2 linked regions of the Nothobranchius furzeri genome follow. The protein of the gene in region 1 interacts with the protein of each later gene in a pairwise test. Links are inferred from orthologs where the notes say so. Each region holds a gene or a part of one and is shown in the gene's direction. Other genes may lie near its edges.

Region 1 (4,546 bases):
TACGTTGTCATTCGGGACAACGCAAGTTTCCACCAGGCTGCTGTGGTTCGTAAATGGCTCACTGGCCACCCACGCTTTTTAGTTGTTTACCTCCCTCCATATTCTCCATTCCTCAATCCCATTGAGGAATTTTTTTCTGCATGGAGACGGAAGGTGTATGACCGACAGCCACAAACCCGTATACCTCTTCTCCAAGCTATGGAGGATGCATGTGGAGATATAGCAGCTGATTCTTTTCATGGCCGGAATCGCCATGCTAGGAGATATTTCCCCCGCTGCTTGGCCAGGGACAACATTGCTTGTGATGTGGATGAGGCGCTGTGGCCAGACCGCAACAGAAGAGAGGATGCAGCATAGATTTATTGTTTTACTGTAACTGTATACAGTAAATTTCTGTTGGATGTAGTTTATGTGTGCAACTTTGTGTTGGTTGGGAATGGGATAAACATTGTGTACAATGTTTTGTGGGAAAAATAAAATAATTTCTACCATGTATTTGTGTGTTCAGAGTGTAAAAACAATATTCTGAAATAACAACACATGCATGTGTTTACTGTCTGTAGTAGGTATAACACTGAACCAAAAAGGCTTTAGTCATTATGATGAATGGAGAGGACGTGTTTTCCATTCATCATAGTGTTTAACATTGAGCACATGAGTGTTCTGCTGGTTCTTATAAATGTCTGTTCACATGATGGTTTGTGTGTGTCATTTGACAACAAAATCACATTTTGAGGAGAAAGTACATTGTTTTGAATGTGTTTAATTTTGCAGGTTAAGTGAGGGGTTTTGCCCATTGTGTGTGGTTATTTTCTGGATTTGTGTGTAGAGTTCTGAAAATATGGGGCATGCTTTCAGAAAATGTGGGTAAACAATTGAGAAAAACTGTAACACAATAAACTTAGCAAATAAGGTATTGGGTCTACCTAAGAATTAATTGGTAAAGAATTCTCATACCTGCTGCTTACTGGTCTTGCCTTGTGGAAATAAAGTATAAAGACAGTTTGGTGGTTTAAAATGTTTGCATGTTTCCCATTTAGTTAATTATTGTTAATGTTATAATACTAGCACATTAATGTTTAAATTACTTTTCTTGACACTAAGAAACCTTTTTTTTTTGTAAAAAAAAATATCTCAATGACTATAATGTAGTTTAGGTTCAGCCTCTGTATATGAGATATATAATGGAGTTTTTATAAGCCATACATTTCTCTTACGCAATTGCTTATTTATTTATTTATTTATTTAATTTAACAATGTGCAAGTGTACATCAAATTACAAATTAAGTATACAATACAGTTGAATTAATTTATGTAAACATTCAGCCAGGGGGGTTAATTAAACAAATATATGCAAAGATCCACAAACGTCAATCGTTTAGTGAGCCTTTTTGTTAGTGTGAACTTTTACACAATTGTTTGTGTTGAACCGGAAGTCAGTCGGAAGACAAATGATGTAACACGTAGAAAGTTCCGGATTATTCAAAGGTCGAAATAAAACTGCGAGCGTGAGGCTTAGTGGATCAGTGTTGTGGCTGTTTTAATAAATTAATCATCTAAGTCTACCTTATAGTTTAAAATGCCCAGAGGAAGCAGAAGCAGGACTTCTAGGATGGCCCCTCCAGCCAGGTAGTAAAATATAATTTATTTAAAGTTGTAGAAACGTTGTGAATTAGCTATGTGAGCTAACAGAAATGCTAACGTCCAAGTGTCGTGTCAGGCTGAGACTGCTAGAAACTCAAATGTAATTTGGTGCTTTAAATAACATAATGATGGCATCTAGACTAGTTTTTACCGTTCTACATGTTAAGATAATGTTTTATTAAATGTCTTCGACCAAAGTAATGAAGGTCACATGTGATTTTGATGTCATTGTTGCTAAAAGGTTGAGTTTTTGAACCTTTCAAAACAGAAAATTGCGCAAAATTAAAACTAGTGAAAACATCTTATTATACCAAGCTCTAAGTATGTCGTACTTTAATACACTTTATTTGAGATGTGTTTCTACAGTGTTTAGAATATTTAATTTTCTCATTCTCTATAAATAGTAAAAGTAAATTACCTAAAACTTAAGTAGTTATCTCAGTCAGTCACTATCTCTAACTTATTTTTCCACCTTAGTTAAATTAATTATAATTTTGCCTTGTTACCCACATTTTGCTGGTTTTTGGTGGAAACAGGTTGTGGGCCTTTAGTTTTTACTCAAATAAAATGAAAACCTGCAGAACCCTGTTGTGCAACTTAAGAGCAGGTCTGTGTTCGATGACCCTAAATAACCCCAAGCCAGACTATTTAAACACTCCTAATTATTTAAGCTCTTATTCGCGTTCACAGTGTACTGTGATGGAGTCAGAATCTGCAATCACAACCTTTTATTTGATTAAACAGCTGGACATTTAAGGCCCATGTGGATTTCTGTGCAGTATTGAACACATTTTTGCCGTTAAAATTTAAGAGTAATGCAAATCCTAACTAGCTCGAGAAGAAAGATAGTATTTGCTTTGACATTTAAGTGGAACTTTTCTCTTTACAATAGGGCACCACCATCTCCTCCACCTATGGCCCGTGCTGCACCTCCACCTGCTTCATCCCATGCTCCAGTTCCAATGCAGGCCCCTCCGTCTGCCTTAGGAGCACCGGCTGCTGCACCCAGACAGCCAGGTTTGCTAGCACAGATGGCCACAACTGCTGCTGGTGTAGCAGTGGGCTCCGCAGTAGGACACACCCTCGGCCATGCCATGACTGGAGCCTTCAGTGGAGGAAACTCTGAGCCTGCCAAGCCTGATGTCACGTACCAGGTATACTGAGGTGTAGCTGACCATTAGACTGGAATAGAATCAGATCAGAGTGTGACAGGCCAAACAGTTAGGACATAGCTTCAAATAGTGTTGGTTATAGACAAAACATAGAATACTTGCTTTTTCTTGAAGATATTTAGATGTTTTATTTTTGTACATTATGAAAATATTTTAAATGTAAACATGAAGTTACCTGCCTGTCTGTCAGGAGCCGTATCAGCAGCAGCCTCAGCAGCTGCAGCAGCAGGCCTGCTCCTATGAAATGAAGCAGTTCCTTGAATGTGCCCAGAACCAGAGTGACCTGAAACTCTGTGAGGGATTCAGCGAGGTGCTCAAACAGTGCAGGTTTGCTAATGGTGAGTGTTTATATATATATTTAAAAAAAAAAACATATTTGACCTTTTCATATTTCTATCGTTAAGATTATTTTTGTTCCGTCTTCATCTTCTTGTTGCTGCCATTTCTATTGTGCTGTCAAATCACTTAAACACTTTGTAATTCACACTTCAAAGACCACTGGCTCATGCGATTGAACTGTTTTGTGCTCGGTTGTCTCCTCTGTCCTCTGTCCTGTGCTCTAGAAATCATCCTTAGCTGAAGATTTTACAGAATCGTATTTTATAAATGTGCTTTTAAAGGAAAGAGCTCTAAAAAAATGTCATGCTGTTGTTTCAGTTTTAATAAATCTTTTTGACATCTGAGATGTTAACGAGCATAACAAGTGAATTAGTCATTAACTGAATTAAAGTTAAATTTGATTGTTCATCCGTCAGAAATTGTCAATATTCTAATATTGATTTGTTTTTTTTTAAAATGAGGCTGCAAATTAATTGTTCTTCAGCCAATCGCCATAACGGCATGGACAGGGTTTGCTGTCCGCAGATTGGGACAAAGGCATGACTTTGCACTATTCTGGTGACGTGTTGCAGTACTTAATGTGACCAGGAGGAGGAGTAGTGTGCTTCTTTTTTTCTGTTACTCGTGGTATTCAATTCTGGGCCTAGATGGTCGATATCCAGCACATTTTAGTTTTAGCCCTGCATCAACACACCTGATTTCAATCAGCAGGTGATTAACTGACTTCTGCAGAGCCTGATGAGCTGCTGCACAGGTGATTCAACCACTGAATCAAGTGCGTTGGAGCAGAGAAACCTCTAAAACGAACTGGCCCTCCAGGCCTGGAATTGAATACCTCTACAATAAACTCAGTTTTTATATTCTCTTATTTCAGTAGCACAGCTATTTGTTCTTAAGGAAAAGAAAAAGTTTGTCTTATTGGACCTTTTTTTCCTCCAAAGGTCTACCTTGAGACGGAGACACTACTGCAGCATCAGTATCACTCCTCATCACATCGTTACTATCTGGGATCAGTCAATAAACATAATTTCTCTTATGATCATCAGCATTTATTTGTTAGGATTCTGCTGCAGTTTGTAACCATAGTCTTTATAAATACTGTTTATATATTTTGCTGTGTCATGTTTTCAGTTAATTCTAAATTTGACCATCCTTCTCATCAGCATAAATGTACCAAAAGCAAAATACTTAGTTTTAATCTTCTGGTTCAACATTTGCTTGTAACAAGAAGACAACTAATAAAGAACTTGGATCAGATTAACTCTGTGGTTTATTTCACTCCCACTGAAGGCAGAACACATTGAAGCATTTCTATTTTTATCTACGAGGTCTTTAAGAGCCACAAAGCGGGACAGCAGAGGATCCCAGCACCTGTTGTGTCACTCGAGTCT
Region 2 (4,410 bases), on another chromosome or scaffold:
ATAGTTTTAAAATGCCATAATCATAAATCCGATGTGGATTATTCTGAAATCGTCTCTGCAGGGTTCTATGTAATTTTAAAGATGAAAAAAGAAAGAAATTATCATCAGATCATCCATTGCCCCACTAAAACAGATGTTTATACATCCGTCAATTATTCTAATTGAATTTCCATTTGCTGACAAGTTAAGAGCGTTTTTTTCTGGGTTTTTGCTGGACCTCGATTACAACCATCAGAGTAGTTTCATAGAAACTAAATCATTTGAGATTTGGAGAAAAAGCGTAGATTGTTCATAGAAGGCCACAAGCATGGATGGATAGACCTGACTTGAAGACTGACGCCTCATATCGGTAGAAATGTGTCCATTTTTAATCATCTTAATGTGTTTGAGTTTTATTTTTATTTTACTGAATCACACCAGAAACTCCACGCATGCATGCAAACGGGATTGTGAGAGCAGAATGGGCGGTAATACGATAAGATAACAAATAATCCACACAGAAAGCAGAAGAACGACGGTATAAGTCGGGATAAAAATCAAAACATGCACATTTCATGCACTTTCGGCGCAAAACAAAATATGTTTTGCACGTCGTTGTGACTTGATAAACAAAAAAACAAAAAAACGCACTTTTTAAGTGCGGTCACTCACTTGTGTGCAAGTTTGAGCTTGTTTTGAGTTATTTATGAAGCAATTATACGCAATAGCTGTTAACTTTTTTAAATAAGCGACTCTGTAATGCAGGTGTGTGTGTGTGTGTGTGTGTGTGTGTGTGTGTGTGTGTGTGTGTGTGTGTGTGTGTGTGTGTGTGTGTGTGTGTGTTCTGCGCATGAGGTAAATTGAAAGCGAAGATTGAGTTCATCTGGGTTGAACTCGCGGCCTCCAGAGGGAATACGTTCTCCGGGAGAGCAGCATCAGACGACGAGCTCTAAAATGAGCTCTGTCAGGAGGATTGCGTCCGGACTCCTATATCCCACCTGTCACTGCCGCTCGCGACAGGAAGTGCTCCTACAGGTGATCCAGGTTCCTGTGGCTTTGACTCAGACACGTGTCCAACAATATCCTCTCAATGCTGCTTCTTGTCGCTTCAGAGAGGAAGTATATTAACCATGGTGCCTGAAAATATTATTTTTAGAGAATTTTTGTTTTATTATGGCAGCTTTTCGTAGAATTTACACGTGCACTTTGTGTCTTTTAACTAAATAAACATCTTTCTGTCGCTACGTTTTTTTTATTTCACCTTTTATTTGCTAATAATTGTGAAAAGCACAGCTCCATTTTTGCATGCTCATTTTTCTGGCTTGGTGGACTCCAAGTCTTCCTGGCCCGCGGCCCCTCTGGAAGTCACTGCAGTGCCTTTTATGCTCTCATAAGCGAGGTTCCGCATCTCCGGAGACATTTTACATGTTGGGCTACTCTCTTCCTCTTCCTCTTCTCCTGTCTCCCTTTCTCATGTACACCTAAGACGCCTCCTCCGAAAGTGGGAGGGGGCATCTTCTTCCTGTCTCCTATTGGCCCCCGGTGCGCCTCTGCCGCGCTGACGTCAGGTCCCGCCGCCCCTGCAGCGCTGAATGGACCGAGCAGTCTGTCTGAGCTACTCCAAAAACAGCTCAGTACAGCGCGGAGCGGGACGGCACGGCGCGGACATCACCGTGAGACTAGACAGGGAGCTGGGATAGAGGTTTCACCGGACACTGGTTTGCAGAGCGGAAACGGGACTAAAACACCAGCAGCGTTTCCCCCCCGCACACTAGGCAGGACGGGGGAGTGCGCCCACCGTGTTGCGGGTGTATGTGCGTGCGCTTCGGATCACGATGATGCAAAGTGCGGCGGTCTTACCGACAGAGAGTCCTGTGAAGAGTTTACCGGAGATTCTCGGAGTGCCACTGCAACGTAAGACACTATTAAATCCCCTTTTTTCTGTCCTGCAAAGTGGGACCCGCGCAGAGAGAGGGGTTTAGTTACAGTGAGAGGATGAGGAGAGGAGACCTGAAGCCTTGCAGGCCAGTGATGTGTCATGCTGCTTAGGGTTCCAGCTGCAAAAGTAGGTATACGTTTTAGACGAGAGTCTTTCACGAGCATCCAGCATGTGTCTGCAGCCACCTGCAACCTGCAGCAGCAGAAAAGCTAGTTCTTTATTTCCTCTGATTTTGAAGTTTGATATATTAAAATGGGAGGGTTGATTCTTTGATTCGGCCTCAAACTTTGCCACACACACACACACACACACACACACACACACACACACACACACACACACACACACACACACACACACACACACACACACACACACACACACACACACACACACACTGAGGCTGTTAATTTGTAAACGAGGCTGCGTGGTCAAGAGATCAGACGCAGTTGTCATCATCGCCGTCAAAGGAACACACTTTGGCTTTGCCTGACACTCATTATTGGTCAAATTAAAAAGCTCCACAGTTTAATCTAATTTCAAGCTCTGACTCACAAACGGGTTATTACCAACACTTCATTATTATTAACATCATTATTATAAGAGTTAATCATGTTCTGCCTTTTAGCACAAACAGAAATGCTTTACATCTGTTGTTTTGTTGTGTAGCCCCCTTCATATAATCTCATGGAGTAAGATTGACGTGCAACTGGATCCGTTTCTGCTTTGACCTAATTATTTTTAATAGGCGAGTTAAAATGTACAGATGGAGAGGCTAATAGGCGACCAGCCCCGAAAATAATCCATGACAAAACGGGATGATGCTGAGTTTATTACCGCACTGCTGCTTCATGAGATTATTTACAAAACAACCCCAAGAACATTCGGTATTTTTAAATAGTCACAGATTTGCAACAATATTTAATATTTGATGAAAAACTGGACGCTTTAATTTATTTTGTGTGAATTTAGGTTTGTTGGGCATATTTAAACCCGAAGACAGTCTAAATGAGGTCGGCTTATGCTCTTTAATTTTATAAATCGAGACAGATTAAAAGATTGGTTAAAGATCCTGCCACTCAGCCTCCTGCGGCGCCAGGACCCAGTAAAACCTGGATTATTTTACCAGTGAGAGAAACTATCTGAGCATTTTATATCATGCACTGAAAGCTCAGCTGACTCAGGACTGCGACTGGATCCAAACCGTTAACAGCCCGATCTTAGTCTGGATTAACGAGTGTCCACTTCAGATTTTAAAAATCCATTGATTAATTAAAATGAGAGTTAAAGTGACGCACTTCCTGTGGGAACAGAAAAGAGAAACGTGGAAAGCTGCTTAGAAACGTTCTGGATCCACGAGGTCCTCTGCCTCTCGCGCGCTCGCGCACGCGCACTGAAGCTGGAGGATTTCCGTTGCCAAGAATCGTGCTGCTTTTATTTCAGCACCTCGTCTCAGCTCCATCCACCCACCACTCTGCTCCAGATGTTCCAGATGTTTACTCACATTTAAAGGCCGATTTTTAAATATTTTTAATTCAGTTTTGGATTAAACGGAGCCAACCCAGCACGTGCGTGTGCAGAAATACAGTTTTGCGTTTACTCTACATTATTAACGTTTTCATCCATACATCCATTTTCTGAACCCGCTAGGGTTGCGGGGGGAGCTGGTGCCTATCTCCAGCGGTCAATGGGCAATCAGGCGTGGTACACCCTGGACAGAGAGCCAGTATGTTAACGTTTTAAAAGTCAAATTCTACTGAAATGTGTAAATTACAAAATCTATCTGATATTATAAATTTCATTTTAGTTTACTCAATTAAATAATTATGAAAGGGGAGATGTATAAAATGCATACGCGGTCTGGTCTGCAGCGTTTTGTTTTTCAGGCTGGTGTCGAGGAGATGGGATTAAAACACCCAGGGCTTTATACGCTGATTTTAAAGTTGAGAGGTTTTCTCCAAAATAAACAGCTCTGCTGCGTGAGTTTAGGGCTGCAATCTTCTTCTCATATTGTTTATTTTTATACAACAAAACCTATATATTCTCACCTCAAATAATTTGTAATTAGTTGTTTATTTATTGTTTTTAAATATAAAACGAATAAGAAATGAGCCAGTTTATGTGGCTCGGGCATCTGGTCAGGACGCATCCTTAACGACTCCCTGGTGAGGTTTTCCGGCCATGCACGTCCAACTGAGAGGAGACCTAAAGGAAGACCCAAGACACGCTGGATAGATTATGTCTCTCGGCTGGCCAGGGAGCGCCTTGGGGTTTCCCCGGAAGAGCTGGCCCAAGTGGCTGGAAAGAGTCTCGGCCTCTCGCCTTACCCCCGCGACCCGACTCTAAGCGGCTGAAAATGGATGGATGGAAAACGAATAAGGAGAATCAAAATCAGTCATAGATAACTATTTAAGGAGAACAAAAACCAGCGATGCACTTATAATGTCTGTAAAATAAACATCAAATATTGGTTTTATTTTAGAAATATAAAG

What was found.
Region 2: the proteins of chchd2 (region 1) and lhx4 interact in binary tests that used the Homo sapiens proteins (3 or more experiments, as listed by UniProt). The two-hybrid records come from large-scale screens. The link is inferred for Nothobranchius furzeri from reciprocal best matches to the Homo sapiens genes CHCHD2 and LHX4.

What each region holds. Positions count from the first base shown.
Region 1 is NC_091753.1:38,185,462-38,190,007, reverse strand, and holds chchd2 (coiled-coil-helix-coiled-coil-helix domain-containing protein 2), read left to right. Parts: upstream 1-1,438; 5' UTR 1,439-1,579; coding exon 1,580-1,629; intron 1,630-2,536; coding exon 2,537-2,798; intron 2,799-3,006; coding exon 3,007-3,154; intron 3,155-4,096; coding exon 4,097-4,107; 3' UTR 4,108-4,412; downstream 4,413-4,546. Other genes in the region: insertion element IS630 uncharacterized 39 kDa protein-like, read left to right, coding at 1-357. UniProt on the Homo sapiens protein: Transcription factor. Binds to the oxygen responsive element of COX4I2 and activates its transcription under hypoxia conditions (4% oxygen), as well as normoxia conditions (20% oxygen).
Region 2 is NC_091748.1:57,322,012-57,326,421, forward strand, and holds the start of lhx4 (LIM/homeobox protein Lhx4), read left to right. Parts: upstream 1-1,413; 5' UTR 1,414-1,814; coding exon 1,815-1,893; intron 1,894-4,410. UniProt on the Homo sapiens protein: May play a critical role in the development of respiratory control mechanisms and in the normal growth and maturation of the lung. Binds preferentially to methylated DNA.